4 linked regions of the Drosophila melanogaster genome follow. The protein of the gene in region 1 interacts with the protein of each later gene in a pairwise test. Each region holds a gene or a part of one and is shown in the gene's direction. Other genes may lie near its edges.

What was found.
Region 2: the proteins of CG8997 (region 1) and jigr1 interact in a two-hybrid assay, tested with the Drosophila melanogaster proteins (one large-scale study listed by BioGRID).
Region 3: the proteins of CG8997 (region 1) and CG10591 interact in a two-hybrid assay, tested with the Drosophila melanogaster proteins (one large-scale study listed by BioGRID).
Region 4: the proteins of CG8997 (region 1) and AdipoR interact in a two-hybrid assay, tested with the Drosophila melanogaster proteins (one large-scale study listed by BioGRID).

Annotation. Positions count from the first base shown.
Region 1 is NT_033779.5:13,843,072-13,847,841, reverse strand, and holds CG8997 (uncharacterized protein), read left to right. Parts: upstream 1-2,516; 5' UTR 2,517-2,579; coding exon 2,580-2,649; intron 2,650-2,713; coding exon 2,714-3,426; 3' UTR 3,427-3,927; downstream 3,928-4,770. Other genes in the region: CG7916 (uncharacterized protein), read right to left, coding at 76-667, 723-888, 959-1,064; CG33306 (uncharacterized protein), read left to right, coding at 4,136-4,214, 4,270-4,770.
Region 2 is NT_033777.3:25,635,534-25,641,360, forward strand, and holds the start of jigr1 (jing interacting gene regulatory 1), read left to right. Parts: upstream 1-2,309; 5' UTR 2,310-2,539; exon of another isoform or gene 2,540-2,996; intron 2,997-4,259; exon of another isoform or gene 4,260-4,420; intron 4,421-5,827.
Region 3 is NT_037436.4:5,597,261-5,601,615, reverse strand, and holds CG10591 (uncharacterized protein), read left to right. Parts: upstream 1-1,923; 5' UTR 1,924-1,958; coding exon 1,959-1,995; intron 1,996-2,056; coding exon 2,057-2,958; 3' UTR 2,959-3,059; downstream 3,060-4,355.
Region 4 is NT_033777.3:22,542,830-22,550,121, reverse strand, and holds AdipoR (adiponectin receptor), read left to right. Parts: upstream 1-2,275; 5' UTR 2,276-2,463; intron 2,464-2,556; exon of another isoform or gene 2,557-2,738; intron 2,739-2,923; exon of another isoform or gene 2,924-2,998; 5' UTR 2,999-3,044; coding exon 3,045-3,410; intron 3,411-3,848; exon of another isoform or gene 3,849-4,035; intron 4,036-4,090; exon of another isoform or gene 4,091-4,126; coding exon of another isoform or gene 4,127-4,246; intron 4,247-4,338; coding exon 4,339-4,437; intron 4,438-4,651; coding exon 4,652-5,004; intron 5,005-5,062; coding exon 5,063-5,364; intron 5,365-5,427; coding exon 5,428-5,507; intron 5,508-5,564; coding exon 5,565-5,699; 3' UTR 5,700-6,429; downstream 6,430-7,292. UniProt on the Drosophila melanogaster protein: Adiponectin receptor. In insulin-producing cells, regulates insulin secretion and controls glucose and lipid metabolism.

The DNA of each region.
Region 1 (4,770 bases):
AGCAGACGGAATGGGGACTAATTAAAACGTAGATCGTGGACTCGTTTGAATTGCTTTTTATTGGCTGGTGTTGCCTTAGTCTAGCTTCCTGGACTCAATGGCCAACCAGGGAGCGGGAGTGGGATTGCAACTGCCAGTGGTGGCGGACAGCAAGCTAAAGAGATACCAGATCTTGTGACCCGTGAGATGCGCATTGGCCAGCGGCACAAAGATCTCCTCGATCTTGGCGCTGATCTGTTCCTGGTTGCCATTGATGAAGGCCGGGATCTCCTTGTCGAGCATGTCGTTGATGAACTCATTGATCCTTCCATTTCCCATTACACCGCCAATGTTCGAGGATACACCGCCCAAGCCGACGGCGCAACTGAACTTGTAGATCTTGATGGAGCCAAAGATGAAGGGCATCTTGTACTTGAACTCGCCCTGAATCGACAGATTCTGCAGGCTGAAGGACAATGGGCCCGAGCTCTCGTAGCGCACCGACAATCCCAGTTCCTTCAGCAGATTCACAAAGGTGTTGGTGTCCAAATAGTGGGCACTGGCCTTCAGCTCTGGGAAGTTGAAGTGGAACTTGACCTTCTTGCTAAAGGTGTAGCTGACCTTCATCTTCTTGATCTCCATGCCTTCCAGGCCATCGAAACGGAAGCGCAGGAACTGCAGCAGGGTACTAAGGATGACTATTAGATCCACTGATACAATCACTCCAATTAATTATAACTCACTCGACAACCGACTCGGCCAAGTGGATGCGGAGATCAGCATTGGTGTAGGGATCCAGTGGTGGAATTCCATATTGGGGCCAACCACAAGGCATTTGGTTCAGCAGTCCATTGATGGCCTTCTTCACCGATCCGTTCAAGATCAGACCCTGAGTATCGGGCTTGGCGGCTGTTTGCGGGGAATCACATTGCAATTAGTCCTCTGTTTGGTCAGGTGATGGATGGCTTAAGACACTTACGATTACGCGCCACCAGCTGGTCCCATTGCTCCTCGGTGAGCAGCTCCACATCGTAGGCCGCTACGCAGGCCAAAAGGGTCACAAAAACACAAACGATAGCTTTCATTGTATAGCCAGCCACCTGATTGATTGTCCCAGCCGGTCAGTGGCTTTTATAGCAAAGCTAGCGGATTCGAAGGGCAAGCCGAGGGGAAGGGAAGGGATCACTTAACCAGGTTAACAAATACAAATGCTAATCGCTACTTTTGATTAGCGGAGCTGCCATGAACATAACGCCCAATTCACGATAGGCTTCCGATTTAAAAACGAAGGAATCAAATCATTCGGCAAGTGGTTTGTAAAAAAAGGGAGCACTTGTTTCGCCTGAGTGGCTTGTTTTGGCCTAATCTCGACGTCCAATTGGCCAATCGATTGTCAATATCACTTAAAGAATATATATTGCCTATCATTGCGATCTGGATTATACACAAATAACTGGTCTACCGGGGGTAAAACTGCGTCAACCACTCCATGCAGGTGTCGGCGGATTACACTGGATGACCGATTCGTATCACTCAGTGGGGGTAAATTCTTTTGTCTTCAGAGCTTCAGTGGCTTTTTTGTACTCTTTAGAACCTTAAAGGCGTACTAAAAAGTGATTTATTGCTATTCTGATTACGATTTTACAAGGGGAACTAACACAATGGGTAAACTACTTATTGATAAACATATTGGGCTAGGACTGGCGTTAACTTTAAAGCCAATAATTCGTTAAGAGAGTATTTGACTAGCCATCAGGTGTTAATCGTCTGGATTTTTTTATTAATAGATCCATTCGTAAGACCTTTAAATACCCCAGTCGAGATATCATTCATAAATCACTCAATGCACTTAAAAATCACTTGATTGTTAATCAATAAACAAACTTTTCGCAGACTTTAGATCCGCAGAAGTGCATGGAGAATTTTAATTCCAAACAGACTTCTTTAGAAGATTATAATCATGCTAAATTTTTGGTAGTCGTTTTCAATTTTGATAATTACTTTGTTAAAATGTTTCCTATTGGCTTCAACACCTGCATGACCTTAAAATATCGATTGATGGAAAGTTTTCGTAAGACCATACATTTAATGTATGAGTACTCTGTAATCGCGAAACTAATGATTTTAAAATCTTGTTTCCAAGTCAACCACTAATCCTACACCTTCTTTTTTAGAAAACGTTTTAGAAAAACACACTTTTTTGAAGCCTTCTAACCATAACAAAGCGGGGACACACCCCAAATAGACTTTGATCTTGACACTCCTCCACAAGAAGGCAATGTTTGTACTTTAGTGAAAACTGTCTTTTTAAATCTGATCATTTCCTTAGGATAAGTACCCCCATGTATGTATATATAACTAATCATTAAAATTAAAAAATTTGCCAACCGGGGAATCGTTGGCCGAGATAAGACAGCAATAGGCCATCGATTGAACGCCCGGTGGCTAATCAAATCGTTCACGAGTACGAAGCCACCTTATCACAACCCCACCTGAAATGTTGATCGTCTATAAAAAGCGACTCGTGCGACCGGACGACTGAGTAGTATAAATACCGTAGGTACTACGATCAGTCGGTAGGACTCTCAGTCAAAGCAATAATGAAAATCTTCGTGGCTATTTTGGCTTTTGTGGCCGTTGCCAGTGCGGCTTCCATGGGCCAGCCCATTGGTGAGTATTCCAGATGATTTCCAATGCCCAAATATTTAGCATACCTATCCATTTGATTCTCTAGAAACCCAGTCGATCTCCAGCACGATTGTGGATGTGATCGAGGGCATTAAGGAGCAGATGCCCTGTGGCTTTACCAGTGTCGGCCTGCCGCCATTGGCTCCTCTTAGAATTGACCATCAGGATATCAACATCGATAGCAGCGTGCTGAAGGCTCAGGGAACCATTGATCACTTCCGCCTGAACGGTCTGAATGATTTTGATATCGATGAGATGAAGGTCAACGCCATCACCAGCAAGGTGACCTACAAGTTCACTTTCCGCGACGTGAACGTGGATACCCAATACGATTTGAGTGTGCTGCTAAAGAAGTACGGATTTACCATCAATCTGATCGGTGCCGGACATGCCAAATTCGCCATCAAGGATATGGTTATCTGGGGCACTATGAAGTACTCACTCGGCGTGATCAGCGGCAACCTGAAGCTGAAGTCATTGGAGGTCCGCACCCACTTGGGTGAGGTTGATTCCGAGATCGAGGGCATCCTGGGCGATGGCAGCATCAACGAGAAGATGAATGAGTACTTGGCCGAGGCCGTGGAGCTGGCCATCAATGAGAACGAAGATCTGATTGCCGATACCATCGAGAGTATTGCCCTGCCCGCCGTCAACAGCGTTCTGGACGACATCAGCATCGCCGAGATCATCTCCGGTGCCGGTGGTGATGGTGAGGGTGGAGAGAAGGAGGCCTGCATTCCCCCCGAGTTCGAGTGGTAAACAAATCATCGGTCATTAAACAACCGTTTATGAATCAAGAATTCGTCACCTGGCTCTTTTCTTGCGGGACTGGCTTTCGGTGGGTTTTTTTTTGTTCATTGCATTGGGAAATTTAAACGATGTTTTAAAAAGCTTAATATTTACAACATCCATCAGCTTTCATTATATTTCAAAGACGGTCTAATCTCAAGTTGTGTCCTATCTGTCATAAAACACTTTGCCAAATTATTTGCCGATTAATAAAGCTACTTCACATGCACAGAAAAAAAATGTAGATTCATACAAAATAATATAATAAGATATAGCGATTTTCAGAATATGATTTTTATATCAAAGGGAATATCTTAGAGCACTGTACTCAATACCTCACCATTTTGTGTCAATAAACAATAATTTTGATATGAGAGGAATGCCCCTAATATTTCTTTAAACCTTTATAAACACTAATTATTTAAGAATAAATAACAAATTGTTCCATATTTCAACCATGTTTTTGTAAATATAAGCCAAGAAAGCATTCACTGTTTATTCACTGTACATAGAAGTTTTCCTAATATTAAAATTTTTTAATCTAGACACTGATATTTTTGTGCTGTGTACCGATAGATTATCTCAATGGTCATTTTCCTATATAAGAGGAATGGATTTGGCAAGCTTCGACTAGTGGATTTTGATTGCCAAAAGGGTTAACTAGTGTTCTGTGCTAAGAATGAAGTCTGCATTCCTGATTGCGCTTATCGTGGCCCTGGCCAGCTGTCAAGGTGCCGAAGTTGCCGAACCTTTGTCAGGTGAGAATATGAAGAAAATTTTAGGGAAAATTTAATAATCATAGTTAATTTTCAGCCCAAGGACGCTCTTTCTCCAGCGTAATTGTGGACGGATTGGAGGCATTCAGGGTCGTCCTGCAAAATGGTAGCCCGAGATTTGGAATCCCCGTTATGGCACCCATGAAGGCGGCGCAGAGGTCGTTCGAAATCAACTCGGGAGAATTCAGTGGCACCTTTGGAGTCGAGAACTTTGAACTTCAGGGGCTCGATCAGTACGAGATTATCACCATGAACATGGACGTGATCAGGAGTCGCTTGACCTTCAACATCAACTTTGCCAGCCTTAACTTCACCACCGATTACGAGATGGACATGGGCAGTGGCTATCGCATCAAGCGCAACGGTGGCGCCTTCTTTGCTCTCGAGGATCTGAACATTCAGGGTAGAATTAGCTACTCCCTGGGCGTGTTCACTTCCCAGCTTCGTGTGAAGGATGTCCTGATTTACCCCTCCGTCGGCAATGTCAACTCACAGATCGAGAACCTGTCCAAGTACCGAATCTTCAATCGCAAACTGA
Region 2 (5,827 bases), on another chromosome or scaffold:
TATCAAAACATCATTTCGAACGCTTCGCAAATGGGCGAAAGGAAAGTGGGAGGGGCAGCACCTTTGTACCGTTACCGGTTCTTAAAGACGCAAAAGGTGGCAAACTAGTTTCGCCGCTGGATAGTTGGCCTTCGATGGCTGCGTTCTGCGATACCTTCGTCCTGACAATAGAAATGGAAAATTCAGGCAAACAGGAGCAGAAATGGGAAGGGACCAAGTAGAAGAAGAAGCAGGAGAGTGCGTAAGCCGCAAGGATCAGAAGGATCTGGAAACAGATGGTACAGCTGCGCGGAATACAACCAAAGCTTAACCCACTAAGGATAGGGGTTTCTAAACAAGTAAACTTTGACCTCTTGAAAATTTATGATACACTACATTTGAAACCTATCGTGTTATATTAATAAACAAAAGTATGTTTTCAGTACTTTTAAATGTAAGTATGTATATCATCTAACCATTGTAACTATAAGCAAAGATGGGTTTATTTATATGCAAAATGTAGCTTGCTTATTTAGGGGTTAAGCATCCAGGGGCTGGGGAATCGATTGGCATTCGGCAGATGTTGTCCTGTGGCACATCCTTTGTAATTAACAAAGGAGTGCGGTGGAGTCGGCGGTGAGAAGAGACCTCGAGGCACGGGTTAAGCCCATTAAAAGTCCCCAACGACTCGAGCCCGTTTGTGTGTACAGTTGCCATTGGGATCGTTCAGCCGCGCTCTTAGTCGGTCCTTCAGTTAGTCAGTCATTCAGTCCGTCAGTCAGTCATACCGTCAGTCATTTAGCCACTCAGTCAGTTTGCCAACCTGTCTCTGTTTGGCATCACCTGCCATCGCCATCGTCTGTTGTCTGTTAATGTGTTTAATGATGCCCTGGCCATCGGCGATCTCAGTTCAGTTTTCATTTATGCTAAATTGCGACTCTTATGCTGCGCTGCAAAAAAGCTGAAATATTAGCCGTCCTCATTATATAAGTACAGACACATTGAAGATAAGCATAAAGCACAATTACAAGCCGAATAAAAAGTTAGTAAACTTAAATCCTTTGTTGGTTTCATTTTCGAAATATGTTATTGATCTTACAAATGATCTTAAATGCCATTAATTGATTTATAGTTCTTAGTTCTTTGATCAAGCTTAAAAAGGATCTGGTTGAAAGAAATGTAATAAATTTCATGGTATCTTTTTCATAGCTAAGCGATCAGCTCTGCTCAAGGTGTGACTATGAGACTCTGTGCCACTCCAGATGTGTCCGGACATGCCTCGTGCCTCAGCGATTGTCCTGATGCGCGATATGCGGGCAGCGCGGGTCTTCGTCTTCTGGTTTCTTCATCGATCTCTAGCCACGCGCCGCAACTTTCCTCGCGACTCTCGGTCGCACTCTTGCCGCCGATGCACCTGCTCGCCAACCAAATGTAAACCCAACTGGCCACCGAATGTGGGCCGCCCTAATGGAGTTGTCCCCGGGCCCAAGGTTCGCAACTTTTACCAGCCTGCTCTGGGCGATCATTAGCTGACAGAAGGCCTCACTCGACGGACAACATTTTTTGGGCTTTAAGTCTTAGTTAAAACTTCTTTTTTGGGCTTCTAGGGGATCTTCTATGCATTCGGAAGGATACAATTGCTGATGTTGGGATATGTACCTATAGTAAGTCAGCAATGAATTTGCTTTCATAAATATACATTAAATCTTTTAAAGTGTATCCTTTACGCAGAACTTTCCATATCTAAATATGTCTCTTAAATTTAAAAATATATTATAAATTATTCTAGAAGTATCCTAAAAAAATCTATTAGGTGAGGCTTTTGAAATCCTTCAAAATCAGTGGCTGCATCCTTATTTAGACAGTCTCTTTCTCGTATGACATAACATCCCCCTGTTCTACGACATTCCAGAAGCCTTGTTAGGGAAACCTTTGGTCCTTTCTGGGAGAGTATCAAGCGATTCGGCGCAGAGAGCGAACAAAGATCGAGGTACCCTTTATTTTTCGAGAGTAAGAGAGTTCATACGAGTTGCTAAGGATATAGCTATGCATCTTATTCTGCATTTAAATTTAAACCAATACACTATGAAAATCCTTAAACAAAAGTATAATTTATACACATATGTATGTATACTTAAGTTGTTATATTTTATGTCTAGCTAACGTCAGACTCCACGACTTGAAGTGTTACTTTATACATTCTATGCCCCTTAAAAGGCAGGTAGTAGGTATCTAAAAGTTGCCACCCCTGCGAGCTGCGTTCCTTTTTGCAGCCGCTGCTTCTGCCGGCGTCGGCAGAGAAATTCGAGTCTGAGTTCTGAAGTCGTTTTCGTTGAGGCGACGAGCTGAGTCGCCGCTGTGGAGGAAATTCAATTGCGCGCAATCCATCGGCGGCGACGGTTGTGTCTCAAAAGAGCCTTCCAACTCCTGACTACTACTGATCAAAAGAAATAAAAGTAAAAAGTGACCAAGTTACTGCGGATCGAGGAAGTTAAAGCCTTGAGCCTCCGGCACGACGATGGTGTGTTAAACATTTTTGTGCGCTTGTGTTTGTTTGTCGGTGAGTTGAGTGCGCGCGCTACTTTTATTTGTTAACTTCACCAAACAGAACCGTTAGTCCCAAGTGCCCTCACAAAAAAAAAAAAATAGAAAAACACCAACTAAAGGAAAAGAAACATCATAAACCGACGAAATATCCCCCAAAGAATCTGTGTAAAAGTGCAAAGAGACAAGGCGGAGAATGCGCCCGAAAAAATCAAGGAAAAAATAACAGAAAAAACATTTGGCTGGGTGCGGTGATCTTGAACCCGGGCTCAACTCCGCGTAACGGTGCATCGGCAAGTGCAGGAAGAAATGGGTGAAGATGGAATAGAGGAGGAAGGAGGAGAAGAAGGATGAGGAGCGCGATGAGGCCGTTGCATTTCTTTTGATTGCTTGTGTATCATCTTCGGGGATCTCTGAGCGCCCACTCTTTTTGCGGGCATTTTCCGCTCATTTTTGGCGCAGCCTCCCAAAAGGTAATCTCCCCAAGTTCCCAAGACCAGCGTTATAAAACTGCCGTTAGTTTTTTTATGTTTAACCGTTTTTGGGCGCAGCCGCGAGGAGTGACTCTCTCCTGCAGATAATTACGGCAAAAAGGTGAAGAATTTATGCTGACCATCAAAATAGCTAATAGTTGGAAGTTAAACTAAAGCGCTCTGCTAAAAAGTCTTTTTGCGCCCAAATGATTGTGCATATAGGCGGGGAAAATGGCGATTTTCCTGTCGCCTTTTGATTTATTTACATGTGCTTTTGCAGAAGCACAAAGAAATAAGAAGCCATTCTTTGTGCAGAAGTCAAACAAACATTCTGACTCATTCTCTTCGCGCTCTTTTTTGTTGAACTTTTATTTGTTTTTTAACATGAGCCCCAGTGCGGGAGAAAGAGCAAGTAAAGTTAAAGTAACGGACAAGGAACATAAGCATCGTCATCGCCCCCAGTTCTTCTCCTTATCCCTACCATCATCACGTGTCGCCAACTCTGTTCTTCGCCTACACAGACATAAAATGTGAGGATCTTAATTTAAATTAGAATGGCAGTTGTAGTTTTTAAAAAGTATTTAAACTAAATATTAAACCAGGATAACTTATTTATTTTTCAAAATCTTCACACTTTCTTCAAGAAACCGATTGATTGAATAATCATTTTGACGAACTTTGATGATGATTCGTATAAGCTATTTCTCTCAGTGCACGCTTTTTGCTCTGGCCATCAGCCATGTCAGCGCCTTCATTATAATAATTTTTATTGCTTTTGCATAAATCAAAAATCATGGAAAAAGAAACAACTGGCAATCGTAAAATGTGAAGAGAGGCTACAAAACATAAAAGGTGCGTTTTTCGACTGTCTGCACTAATTTCACAAAATGTTGTTCGTTGGACCCGCGTTTTCCTTTTTTTTCTTAATCCTCGCATTTCCGTTACTGTTGCTTTTGTTTTTGTGCCAAATCATTGCGGTCTCTGCATACAAATTCATTAGTGACGGCCCCTATTCTTTGCTCTTCTTGCTCCTTTGGAAGAATTCTCCATCTTCACCTTCTCCACCTCCCACACACTCTCGTTTCTGGGAATTGCCATTTTTGTTTTTGTTGTTGTTGGAGCACCTTTCTTGCAGCGGATTCTGCAGGAACTCACACGGCGCCCTCTCTTCTCATCCCCATTTTTTACAAAGCCTCCTTGTTTCTCGCTTTTCTACAGAATTATGCACAAGGCCTAGGGGCAACTTTCTTTTTGTGTGTTTTTAGTTCACAGTTGATAGGCAAAACTTCTGGACCTTTTCAACTCAAATGTAGATAATAGGAAATCAAGGAAAATGCTGCAGTAAAACTACTTTCTTGATGTGAAATATTATTTATACACTCATTTCTTTCCTATACTATTAATTATAACAATTCATGGGTCATGTAAGCATTTATCGTAGTCCATATCAATCAGTCCCAATCTGTCTTTTGCCACATTAGTTTCCCATGGAGTGAACATAACCTTCTAACGCAACAAAGCTCCACATTCCCTAAATAAATTTCAACACTTTGTTTTGTAGCTCTTTCGGAGTCTACAAAACCGAAGCGCACAAAAAATTAAGATCAAATTTTTACCAGCTGCTTAGTTTCAATTTCTTTTTGCTCGATTCTGTCCTGATTACTGTAACCAAAAATGTGACCCACACCCCCTCCCAAAAGCCCACACTTTGACAATTTGGTCACTAATTTTAGGGCCCTATACTCCGATGTCTGAGCGAAATACAGTTGTCGGTAAAATTTTATTGATCTTCGTTTTTTCTGCACAAAAATATAAAATTGTTTCATGGTCGAGGCTCGTCGTTGCTGTTGTTGCCGACGAAATCGAAATCTCGCCAAGAAGCAAACGGCAATCAGCAAATCGAATTCAAAACGCGTGTGTGGAGGGAGGAAGTCCCAGATCCCAGAAGAAGATCCCTTAAGAGAGCCCAAAGAGACGACTCCAGACTTGAGACGCGCCACGACAATAACAACAACAAAGCCGCAATCAGCAAATACTTGGTTTAGGCGGGCCAATACACCGGAAACAATCAAGACTAATATTGACATGACATACCTTAACTAAAATCACTTTGATAGGTGCAAAGATAGTTTCAAGGTTCCAGTCTATTCAATTTATATGTAATTATTTATTCAAATTTGGCGAGGTTATTAATTATCTTATTTGACCGTTATGACTGGGTAATATTTGGCAGTGTAGCCACTGTCCCATCGAAGAGCCACAAAGGGCCGCCCGAAAAAATATTTTTATCTTGATATTTCTGTTTTTTTGCCGCTGTTTGTTGTTGTTGCTGTTCTAAATACGCCAAAAGTTGCTTTCAGGGCATAAATATATGTCTTTAGTGTGGCATGTCTGGTTGCGTTTTTGGAACTTGGTAAATGGGAACGAATACAGACGGACCTGACCAAAAAATCTGGACCCGGGATCCCAAAGTCGGGCAGAATTCATGGAATTAGTTAACGATTAATGATTGGATATTGATTTCGCTTTTGTGGCCTCTGAGTGGTTGGATCGAGTGACTCTCTTTGGCAACTTGGCCCGTCCGTTTCGCTTTTACTACTCATTAATTTCCTTTAACTATCTTGAGGGGCATTAAAAAACACTGCTGAGCAAAATGAAGTTCCTGCGGCAACATCTTATTCGCATTGGCTTCTTTCTCCATTGAAGAAGCCACTTTACATAGTTTATTTGCGTTGTTGCCAACTTTCTTTTTGAGAGATTCTCTTCCTTATAGCGTCGCTAACAGCTTTACGATCTGAGCAGACATAAAACTCGCAGCCAAGGAAGATAAC
Region 3 (4,355 bases), on another chromosome or scaffold:
GTCCAATATATTCGCACCAAAGATAAAAGATTCAGTTTAACGATGTATACGCAAACTACATATATCACCTAAAAGGTTTACTTCGGAATTATAAGACTAGACGTTTCAAATGAGAAAATTTGGGAAAACATTGTGAATTAAAAGCTCTTTCTGTTGCATTTACGTTTTGCTAGTTTTAAGAGTCAATTAATCCTATACACTAATTTTTGGTTTTGTAATTTCTACTGTTCCATAAAATAACATTTCTCTACTTACTTAAATTACTAAGAAGCTTGCTTACACAAAATATTTGATATATTTCCGAAGATAACTTTTATGTCATATATGTGCGTATGTTACGTTGCATACGGTGTACATCGAGTATTTTATTTGAATTGTTTGCCTAGAAAACTTATCAATCTATGCAACTGCAACAAAATGTGACTTGAACTTGTTTGCGCCAATTAAGTTATGTACGATGCAAGAAATGTGCTGATTAGCAATAGTCGATAATCTAATAATAAATTCAATATATAAAACCAAAAAAAAAGTTTATGACAGTATAAGCCCCCTTCATCTTGGCCATTATCAGCGAACACACAGATCGTTTCACTTTTACTATTTTTGATTCACTCGGTAACATTGACCCTCAAATTGTTTTCCAATTACTGGGAGGCAAACAACTTCAACGGTCTTATCATCCCATTTATTAGGGGGCCAATTCTGGCACTTCCATTCGTTTTCTTTTCGTTTGGGAGCACAGGATGGATGGAGTACTTTGGGGTTATTCCATGACAACACCATTGATAAAGCCTTTCGGATTCTTGTCGTTAACTGATGATGTTCGATTTGTCTCAAGTAACTGAACTATGTTTATATTACGTATACGACCAATCACTGCAGTGTTTACACACAGTGTGTCTTATACCCTAAAATGTTTGGTGAGCTTTCCAGAATCAACTATATGAATAAATGACTTAAGTTGTTTCAAATACAAGCAACTTTCAAAAATATTATCAGTATAAGTACTGAATAATTTTCCTTCAGCACTAAGTACGTTTTAATTCAAAGTTTCGGAAGTTTGGTAAGATAACCTATGGACATACCTTTGAGATTAGCAGTTTCTAGTAAACAACTATTTTGAAGTGTATCGAATGGTTTCAACTGCTGCCACAAGCCACCCTTCATCCGGATTTACTTCTCTGCTTATCGGGACTTTCAAGAGGCCCAGTGTCATCATAGTTCCAGGGAACGGCGCTAGTTTGGAAGTGAACACCTACGGAGTGGGCACTCGTCCACTAATGACGCGTGTTTTCGGTGGGCTTTGTCTCGTCAATGGAATTCTGTGATAAGTCGGAAATGTTACAGAGCCTTTTCATTTCTAGCCGTGGTAGTGTGGTAACTGATTGGAAACATATTGATTTCGTAATTTATGCTAATTCTGGGCAGTGGAAACTGTAAAGGCGCTTGGGATAATCCCTGAAGAGTTTCCGTTTTGATGAAAAGGCAATTCAAAAATCTGGGTGTCACTTTGATGGGTATCGCCCACATTTGGTCACATAAACTCTACAATCTGATCACTGTTTATGACCTGATAGACAGTTGATGTATTTTTGAAGTTGTCCCGCTGATTGCGGCTGGCTGGCCAAGAATCAAACCGAGAACCCTGCTGACCCAGTTTAAAGGCTTGTCGTCGGGCCTAATGATGTTCGTGTATATTTTGTTGCATAAATTATCATAATTGTCACTGCGCCGACTGGGTGATGGCATTTTTCCTTTTGATCGCTTAGCATTTCCCTTTCGATGGTGGGTTAAGAACAGTTATAGAGATGCGGGAAATGTGTTTTCTGTTCGATCTAGAGATTATTTTGTATATTTTCTATGCATATTAAAACGTAGCTCTCGAGTTTTTCAGCTTATAAAAGCCGAATTCGAATTTTGGATCTCAGTCCGATCTGAAGAGAAATCCGAAGTACATCATGAGTTTTTTGGGACTCTTGGCTTTTCTGGTTGCTGGTAAGTTTATAAAACATTTATAAATTTTTCTACAATATTACAATACCATATATTCCATCAGGTCTTTGCTCCACCGCCCAGGCTTCGTTGGTGAAATGCTCTTGTGATCCTGGTCCACAGGGGGAACGAGGACCTCCAGGTCCGCCTGGACCTCCTGGCAATCAGAACGGTCTCTCTGGCAGTGGTTCTGGCTACTGGGGCTATCCACCCACAGGTCCTTACCCCCCAAATCTGCCTTTCATCCAGGGGCCTAGAGGCTTACCAGGACCGCCTGGTCCTCCTGGATATTGTTTCCCATGCCCAGCTCCTCCACCTTTGAGATCCTTTCCGCCACCGGGAGTTCCAGTCCCTCCTTTCATTTCCACCCCAGGTGGTGGCGGATTTGGTGGAGCCTCTGCATTGACCACCGCTGTGGGCAACATTATAGTGATTCCAGGAGGACCAGGAACGGGATTAGCTGGTCGCGCTCAGTTCTTCCACATTTCACCCGATGGCCAGGTGGTGCAGATCGATCGACCGCAGAATCTGCCCAGTGAACTGTTCGATACACCGGTGAACCAAGGTTCCGGTGCTCCCATTCCTCCACCGCAACCCACATCGTCATCTCTCTCGGGGATCACACCACCAGCAGTCCAAGTGCCACCAACTCAACCCACGCCCGGCGATCTGGGAGCCCAGCAGCCCACAATTTTGCCCGAGAATATGGAGGAAACTGTGTTTGCGGTTGGCAATCGCAAGGACTTCCTGCGAGGTAGCTCCGATGCCAGCGATTGGAGAAGGATTCTCCTCCTGGGAGAGCGACCCACCGATGGTCTACTCAAGGGCCAGTCCGTCCAGCAGCTCAGTCCCAACCAGCTCGAGAGCAGCGTGGAGAACTTCCAGAGGGCTTTGGTCGAACTGAAGGAGAAGTATGCCACGCTCATCCAACCGCGTAACTCAAACCAATATGCAGTCATCATTTGAAGGGAAAACTTAAGATTAAATTTAGTTTAATAATTTAATAAAAACTGTACTGATAATGTCTAAAAAGAATATAAATGACCATTTGATATGGAAGTAGAGGTATTAAGATGTCTCTTTTATGTCTTTCATCTATAGATCTTTTAGTTGTCTGACTTGTTATGTAGAGCTGGCACTTGTGTTATTCGTTCAAGCTTCGTCAACAAAGTACGATATCATTTCTTGGTATTTATAAGATAAATACGGATAAAAATAGAAATACCTATTCGAGGGTAATCCCCCAAAGAATTATGAATTACAATTGTCAACAGTCAATCTGCGTTAAATACGTGAGATTCACAAGAAAAATTCAATCGTCATAACATTGCGATGCCTATTAAATTTTTTTATAAGCATAATAGGCGTGAGTACTTAACGCTTTTTAAGTCTATCAAAACATTTTGAAAATCAATAACGATAATAGGAATTAAAGGTATCAATCCAATCGATTTGATTGGAATCAAGTTTAATTTGCTACAAATGATTTTAATTTAGTTGCAGTCATAACACAGTTAATCAATTTTTGATAGACTTAAATTAAATTTAACTTGTCATTGGTATTGTAAAAATAAAATTCCTTCGAAGCGGTGGGTAAACAATTTTAGAGTTAATTCGTTTAACGTCATTGGATACACTTTTCAGTACAGAAAAGCGATAATTTAATTTCTAAGAATTTGAACTTTGTCAATCAGATTAACTCTTATATTTAAACAATCCTTTTTTATCTTTTTAATTATTTAAGATCAGCTCTGCATAAAAAGTGTTTTGTATACTAGTACCCCACATAATATGTTTTACAGAATGGAACTTTGTAACGAATTTCGATTTTCTTTTGAGACGTAAAAATTGCATGTTCTTAGTCGTTTTATTAAAGTCCATCCTTTTGCGTCATTTGTCTGTACAAAGTCAAAAAAAAAAAAAAATAAGCCACTTATCACCCATTAACGTTTATATTTAATCAGAAGTACATATTTTGTTAAATGTGGTTTTTCTTGGAAGGAATGCCCCATGCATAGCAAAGTCCAATGCGTATTCATTTGGCTCCACAAGTCCTACTATCAAGATCTTAGAATCTACGAATGGAAAAGTACCCATTCGAAAAAATGGTAAGTTGTTAGATAAAAATACAAAAAAAAAAAAACAAATTCCTTTCTCATTTTTCAATCACACCACTGTCAGTTAGAAAAAGTCGCAAATATAAATTGTTCTTATTAATATAATCATATTTAATCGGCCAGCTATTGTCTGCTTATAATCAGACACTATAAGTACATTTGGTTTTTTAACATTGATAGGAAAACGTTTATTGAAGTATTGATTTTAGTAATCCCCGATCGAATTTCTTTTCTCGAGAGCCGCGT
Region 4 (7,292 bases), on another chromosome or scaffold:
TATACATATACATATATATATTATGGTATATGTTTAGAATTTAACGAACATACATAGAACATACTATGAGAGACTCTAGTTCATCATCATAAATTGTTAACAATTTTATGAAAATCTGTTTGTATGCCACTGAAAGTGTTTGGAATGAATTTCTAAAAAAATATATACATGCACTTTATATTTATATATAATGTGTCGCGATTTTTAGACCGCACGATGGAGTTTATATTTTTATTATGTGCTTTGACCTTTCAGTGATAACTCAGGTTAATTGGATTTTGCGTCATCCTCGCCACTTTCGTTTGATACTGTGTTATTTCTAAAAAACATCTCTATAAAGAAATGCTTAAAAAATTAACTACATTTTTGTAATAAAAATAGTTCCATTAGACCCTTTAAAATTAACAAAATAGATATGGATAATATTTTATATATGTAAGTTCCTGACACCACTTTTCTTTCTGTGTGCCCATTTAAAAAAACATTTTTCTAAAAACATCTCTATAAAGAAATGCTTAAAAAATTATCTACATTTTTATAATAAAAATAGTTCCATTAGACCCTTTAAAAATAACCAAAATAATAACATTTTATATATAAGTTCCTGACACCACTTTTCTTTCTGTGTGCCAATTTCCAGCTACAAAATTGGCTTTAAATAAACCGCTAGACAATTGATTTATTATCGCCGTCACGTCATTGAGACGAACTCAATTGGCAGCATAGTTATAAGTGCTTATATATATATATATATATGTGCCAATGTGGGGGATGACACGCCCCAACTCCATAACCTGGCACTTAATTTAACTACGCAAATAGGGTTTACGGGCGCAGTTAACACATTTCCAGATCGATGGGAAGCGATTGTCCGTCCAATGAATGGGTCAATTTCACGCACTTACTCTCACCAGTCTCCCAGATTCCCAGGTGATTTGTGTGACCCATGGTGATCCATGTACTCCACCCACGTGCTAAGTGCCCGGTCAAATATGCAAATGTTTGCCGAGTTGGATGCACTGCAGCTGTGTTGGTCGCCACCCTTCCGGGTCTTTGGCATTTCCATTTCCATTTGAAGCACATTGGCCGTTTAGCATTTTTTGTCGCGCGCTCGTCATTCAAACAGAAACAGCTCGCATTATCGGCGCTTCTCTTTTGTGATTATGACCCTGAACTTCAGCGCTACTAAATGTATTAATTCAGTCGATTAATACCGCTAGTCGGGGTCTGTGCGAAATCTGCTCCTTGGCCGAGTTTCTAACGTAGCTGGTCAGAACGCCGAGAGCTGATGGATGATATTGGCCTGGATTGGTCAATAGGGTATATCATCTTGATGGGCTGCCCCTGAGCAAAGCAAGTTCTATAGTCTTATGTTTGAAATTGAATTTGTTTAACAAAGATGAATGACTCTTGACTAAACATATTGGCCTTTATGTGCAATAAATATTCTAAGGGCGCTATTAAAACGTAGTTAAATTGCGCTATTAAGAGCTTGCCAAACAAGTGAATCTTTATTGGGCCTGCAAGGCTGGTGATATTTCCTCACTAGCCAAACACCATTTTGTCTTCCCAATTAAGTTTCTTTATTATTAGAATTGTTATTTGCCTACATTTGTGGGTTTTTATAACACCGTAATGCTATTTCTAAAAAAGCTATAATTAGACATTCTTGTATTACTTTAATTAATTAATTTAAATATATATATTTTAAGTAAGCTGTGATGTTGTCTTTGTTGTCTTTGCAAAAGTGTCCAAGGAATGGCAGATATGTGCATACTTAAGTAGGTTAAATATCGGGGAACTACACATGCTAATTCATAACTACCAGGCTTAAGTTGAGTTCATTGTTGATGTTTTTTAATGAGATGCCTTAACATTTTTTGAAAACAATTTCTCTGTTACTGAAGTGTTTACAGACTAGAGGAAAATTTTCTATTCATATAATATACGTCTTGTAATTTCGTCACGGTAATTTCTCATGAAAAAAAAAACAAATGCCTGTTAGGTATTTACGCAAATATCCAATATTTGGTCAGTTGAAGTACCACCTTTGATCGCCAATAAAAAGTTGTTAGCTCTCAAAAATGTTGACTAATAATGAAAGCACCTTGTTTACCGGGAGCAATACGATTTGCTGGCAAGCATTTTCAAATATGGCGGGCGCTGCGCAGAGTTGCCACATTGTTTTACAGAGCTGTGACTACAAAGTAGCGTTAACAGCCGTTAACAGCTGCTGCGTCAAGGTATGACCGCATTTCCTCCGTTCCCATATGATTGCTAGTGATTTTCCCTATCGCGCTTGCAGTCACACTGGAAAAAACACAGAAAAAATTAAATTAAGGGAAAACAGATGAAAAACTGCAATTGCACGCAATTGAAGCAAGTGCAGCAAATAGTTTTTCGCGCCAGTGTTGACTCCTGGGCCTGCCGTCGAAGCCACGCCAACTGCGCGACTTTCGAGTGGTAAGTGAATAGTAACGAAACGCCAGTGAAATCGAGTGATTAATCGTTCGTTTGTGTTGTGACACTTTCTGTAACTTCGTATAAAAAAAATGGGAACTGCGCAAGTGGAGTGCAGGTGGGGGTTAAGCCAGTTGGTAGTATTCCACTCACACGTGGCCTTCTGGCTGCATTTTCCATGCACTTTGCTATCTATATAATGGTTTCCCCGAAATAGCAACTGCACCTTAACCCACTGAGGATCCCACTCGCATTTGAACACCATCTTATGTAAAAACGTAATTGGCAGCTAAGTTTCCTAAGTGATAAAACACACAAAGCTACCAGATACAGACTTATGTGCTACGTACAACCGATTTACTGGGGAACAAAGGTCGCGCCATACTATATAGCAATGCGATCGGAGCAGACCAATAAACAAATAAACAAATATCGCATTTCCCAGACGAGCTAGCGTTGAGCTAACAAACGCTTAGCATTGCTTTCGAACAACTAAATTCGTATGTATCGTATTGAACAGAACGTATTTCTCTTACAGAATACTATTTGCGGAGTGCAAAACGAATCCGCGGGATCGTAAGACCATGGATTCGGCCACTAATCTCCTCGAGCAACAGGGCTCAGCGGCTGATGTGAGTGGCGGGAGCCATCCCGCCGAGGTGGAGGTAACCACCCAGGCTCGAGCCACTTTCGGCATGGACGCCGAAGGACATGCTACCGGCGAGGCGGTGACCACCACCACGGCCACCTTGCGTAGAGAAGGTTCAGACGAGGATATCTTTGAGCAGGTGCAGATGATCCTGCGCAAGCGACGTGGCTGGGGACCGGAGGACTCGCTTAGCCCCAATGATCTGGACATTCTGGAGTACGACGATGAGTTGGTCGAGGAGGATGACGCCGGTTGTCCACTCCCCTCGACCCCGGAGGACACACAGCTTATTGAGGCGGAGGTGAGTTGGGGCTATTAACCTTTATTTCCATTTTCCACCAGGTGGAAAAGTACGAAATGCAATCGTCAAAACATGTGGCGGAGCTCTTATCGCTGACCTACCACCATGTGGTTATCGGCTGCCACTTGTTAGTCGCAATTTTCCCTCTGCGCAGGCAGTCATTTCAATGTCGGGCGTCTTATCAATCGAAATGTTGCATTGGCCAATGTCTATTTGCCACATGCAAAATGTACCATAACCATTGTACTTAAACCTTATCGTGGCCATTTCTCCATTTTTATGACTCACTAAATACAATTGCTCAATTTAAAGCATATTCCATAGCCATTTGAAAGTTATACCTCTTATCTCTCCTTGCCTTTAATGTCTGTCCGAAAGGTGTCAAGTAAAATTTCTTGACTTTGAGCCTTATACTCTAGACAATCTGCCCGTTTGATCACCGGCTTTAAAGGTCAGGCTTAGATTGAACGCAAAAAGCTTTGGCATAGCCCTTTATACGACAGATGCTGGAAAAAAATCACAAATTTACGTCGATGCGGTGCTGATAATGCCCGGAGTCAGTTTCGGGCAAGCTTATCTTATCGCGGAACGCATTCGGTGCTTTCTTGTTCCGCCAACAAATTGAGTATGCGACTGGCAGAGGCTTCACAGTACAATCGCTCATTGCCTCGCACATTTAGTTCTAGTTCCGTTCGAATCTCTGTTAGCCGCTCAAGATGCAGACCCAGCCGGAGGTTATAGTGCGTGTCAACCCGGATCTGGAGCCGGATCTCAGTCAAGAAACTTACAGAACCCAAAACCCTGACACAGTCAAGGAGCAAGCTGAAAATGCAGTCGTTAGTCCCATTTGCTCTTAGTTTTTCTTTGTTATTAAGCTTTTTATATTTGTTTTGAGAGCTGTTTAATGTCTTATCACTCTATTCCACAGATGACGGAAGTGCTGAAGGCCGGAGTTCTCTCCGATGAAATTGATTTGGGCGCATTGGCACACAATGCCGCCGAGCAGGCAGAGGAGTTTGTGCGCAAGGTAAGCCAAGTGATGCTGCCAAGTGAAGAATGGCTTAAATGGAAGATACTCTTCAAGATTTGTAATATTGTAGCTTTTGTATTTTTGTTTTTATTTCAATAAATAGTATTAAGTGTTGGGACTGTATTTTTTGTTGTTGTTGTTTGTTTATAGTTACCAAACGTAATGTCTTATCTATAGAATGATATGTTATTTTTTTCCATTTCATCCGTAGGTCTGGGAGGCTAGCTGGAAAGTGTGCCACTACAAAAATCTACCCAAGTGGCTGCAGGATAACGACTTCCTACACCGCGGCCATCGCCCACCGCTCCCCTCTTTCCGTGCGTGCTTTAAATCAATTTTCCGCGTGCACACGGAAACGGGCAACATCTGGACACATCTTCTTGGCTGCATCGCCTTCATCGGCGTGGCATTATACTTCATCTCGCGTCCCTCGGTTGAGATCCAGACACAGGAGAAGATCGTTTTTGGCGCCTTCTTTATCGGTGCGATTGTGTGCCTAGGATTCTCATTCGCTTTTCACACACTGAGCTGTCATTCTGTAGAGATGGGAAGACTGTTTTCTAAGTAAGTATTCCTCGACTAATTAAATGGATATTATGTTAATTGTTTTGTTTACCAACAGACTTGACTACTGTGGAATTGCGCTGCTGATCATGGGTTCCTTTGTGCCTTGGCTGTACTATGGCTTCTACTGTCATTACCAGCCAAAGGTGATATACCTATCCGTTGTTAGCATTCTGGGCATCCTCTCCATCGTGGTCTCGCTATGGGACAAGTTTTCGGAGCCGGCACTTCGTCCCTTGCGCGCTGGCGTATTTATGAGCTTTGGCCTGTCGGGTGTGATTCCAGCTATTCACTACAGCATCATGGAGGGCTGGTTCAGCCAGATGAGCCGCGCCAGTCTGGGATGGCTAATTCTGATGGGTGAGTGCTTGTAGATATGCATATTAAAATAATGGTAAAACAATGGCAAAATACATCTTGCAGGCCTCCTCTACATTCTGGGCGCACTGCTGTACGCCCTCCGTGTTCCCGAACGCTGGTTCCCTGGAAAGTTTGACATTTGGGTACGATTCTTGATGGTTTTGTCCTTTGCACCGTTCTAACAGTCTTTTATTTTGCAGGGTCAATCACATCAAATATTCCACATACTGGTCATTGCGGCCGCTTTTGTCCACTACCATGGCATCTCTGAAATGGCCATGTACCGCGTCATGTATAGCGAATGCACTGTTCCCATCGAACCAATAACCTTTTAGATGCTGAAGTGGATGCCAAGAAACAATCATCGTAAAAGCACATACAATCCCATTCATAGTACGAGTAAAACATATATTAATGCGAACTAGCGCAGTTTTACAATGCAACCTTTTTAGCGTTTGGGGAGCATTTGTACCTTGTTATACAAAATCAACGGAACCATATAGAAGACAAAAACACACACTTAACACACAATTACACGCATTTATCATCAAAATCTTGCATAGAAAAAAAAAAATTGCAAAACCAGTTGATTGTCGAATGAAATCTGCAGTAGAGAAATTAATATATGTACAATTATTTATAAAATTCCAATTTGTCTACTTAATGTTGTCGTAAGTTGATTTACATTTCGAGTAGTGCAGAATTGCTTGCATCTGAAATTGGCAAAACGAGATGACTTCCGCTCAAGGGTTCCATTGCTAAAACAGGATCTAAAGGAGCTACCATGTCAGCCAAGCAATTACTTTAAGTTATGCAATTAGATGATCCCCTTGTGGCATTAGTATTTACCTTACCGCTTAGAGTTGTTAGGGTTGTATGGAGTAATGAACATACGTTTCATCGTTAAATGAGGTCTGATTTTATATTCACACATATACACAGCACATCACAAATTCCGCATCCCTGCACCCACACGGCAGAGCATCGCGCATGGAGCCTAAGATATTATATCACCATATACATTATAAATGCAGATCTATCACAAAACATAAAGCGAATCAAAACAATAAAAAAAAAAGCTGAGACTTCTAAAAGAGCGTTTTGGTGAAGATTGCTATATTAAGCCATATATAATTTTATTTCTTGGCGCAAAAACTATTTTAAGGTTTGCTGATTGCCATTGAGCAATTCGGCGGTTGCCATCACCCTAATGCCTGGCCATAAATATCGCTGCAGAGAACTAGAAATTCGCATCGGGGTTATTAGTGGAGTTCAGTCTGCTGATGACTGGGCGAATGCCGAGTTGACTTTGACCCCCTTGATGAAGTGAGCAGCCGTGGTCTAGTCGCCGAGATCTCGGATCGCGATCTGATTCCTCTGCTGCCTTGTGTTCTATGCGTCGTCATTGTCTTCGCCGTGTGCCAGTTTCTATCGACAAATCCGCAGATCGTTAAACCTTTTATTTTGCACGGCGCAAATAAATCGAACTTTGTACTTGACAACTTGTCGGCACGTGTCTTTCAACTAAATGCGATTGCAGGGGTTTTATTTTACAAACAAAAATTCAAGTTCAGCAGAAAAAAAAGCAAATGACTTGGTCGAAATAAGGCGAAAATCAGTTCGGAAGTTGGGCAAAGTGGGAGAAAACCAAAGCCAAAGAGAAATATTTTTAAAATGCCTTAATGAGGCGTAAGCATGTGCAAAGCTAAATGCTACAGTGCGGCTTGGATTTGATGATTTTGAAGACTACGCATTTTCGGATAGGTATCAAGCAAATGCTAACCATTCAAAAAGTTAAGCATTACGACGTACCATTACCATTAGCATTACATATATTTAATATTTGTTAAAATATATATTGTAACTTATTATTTTATTTCTCACATGGAAGTTATGAAGTTTTCACTGTGAAATCGAACATTTTGCCT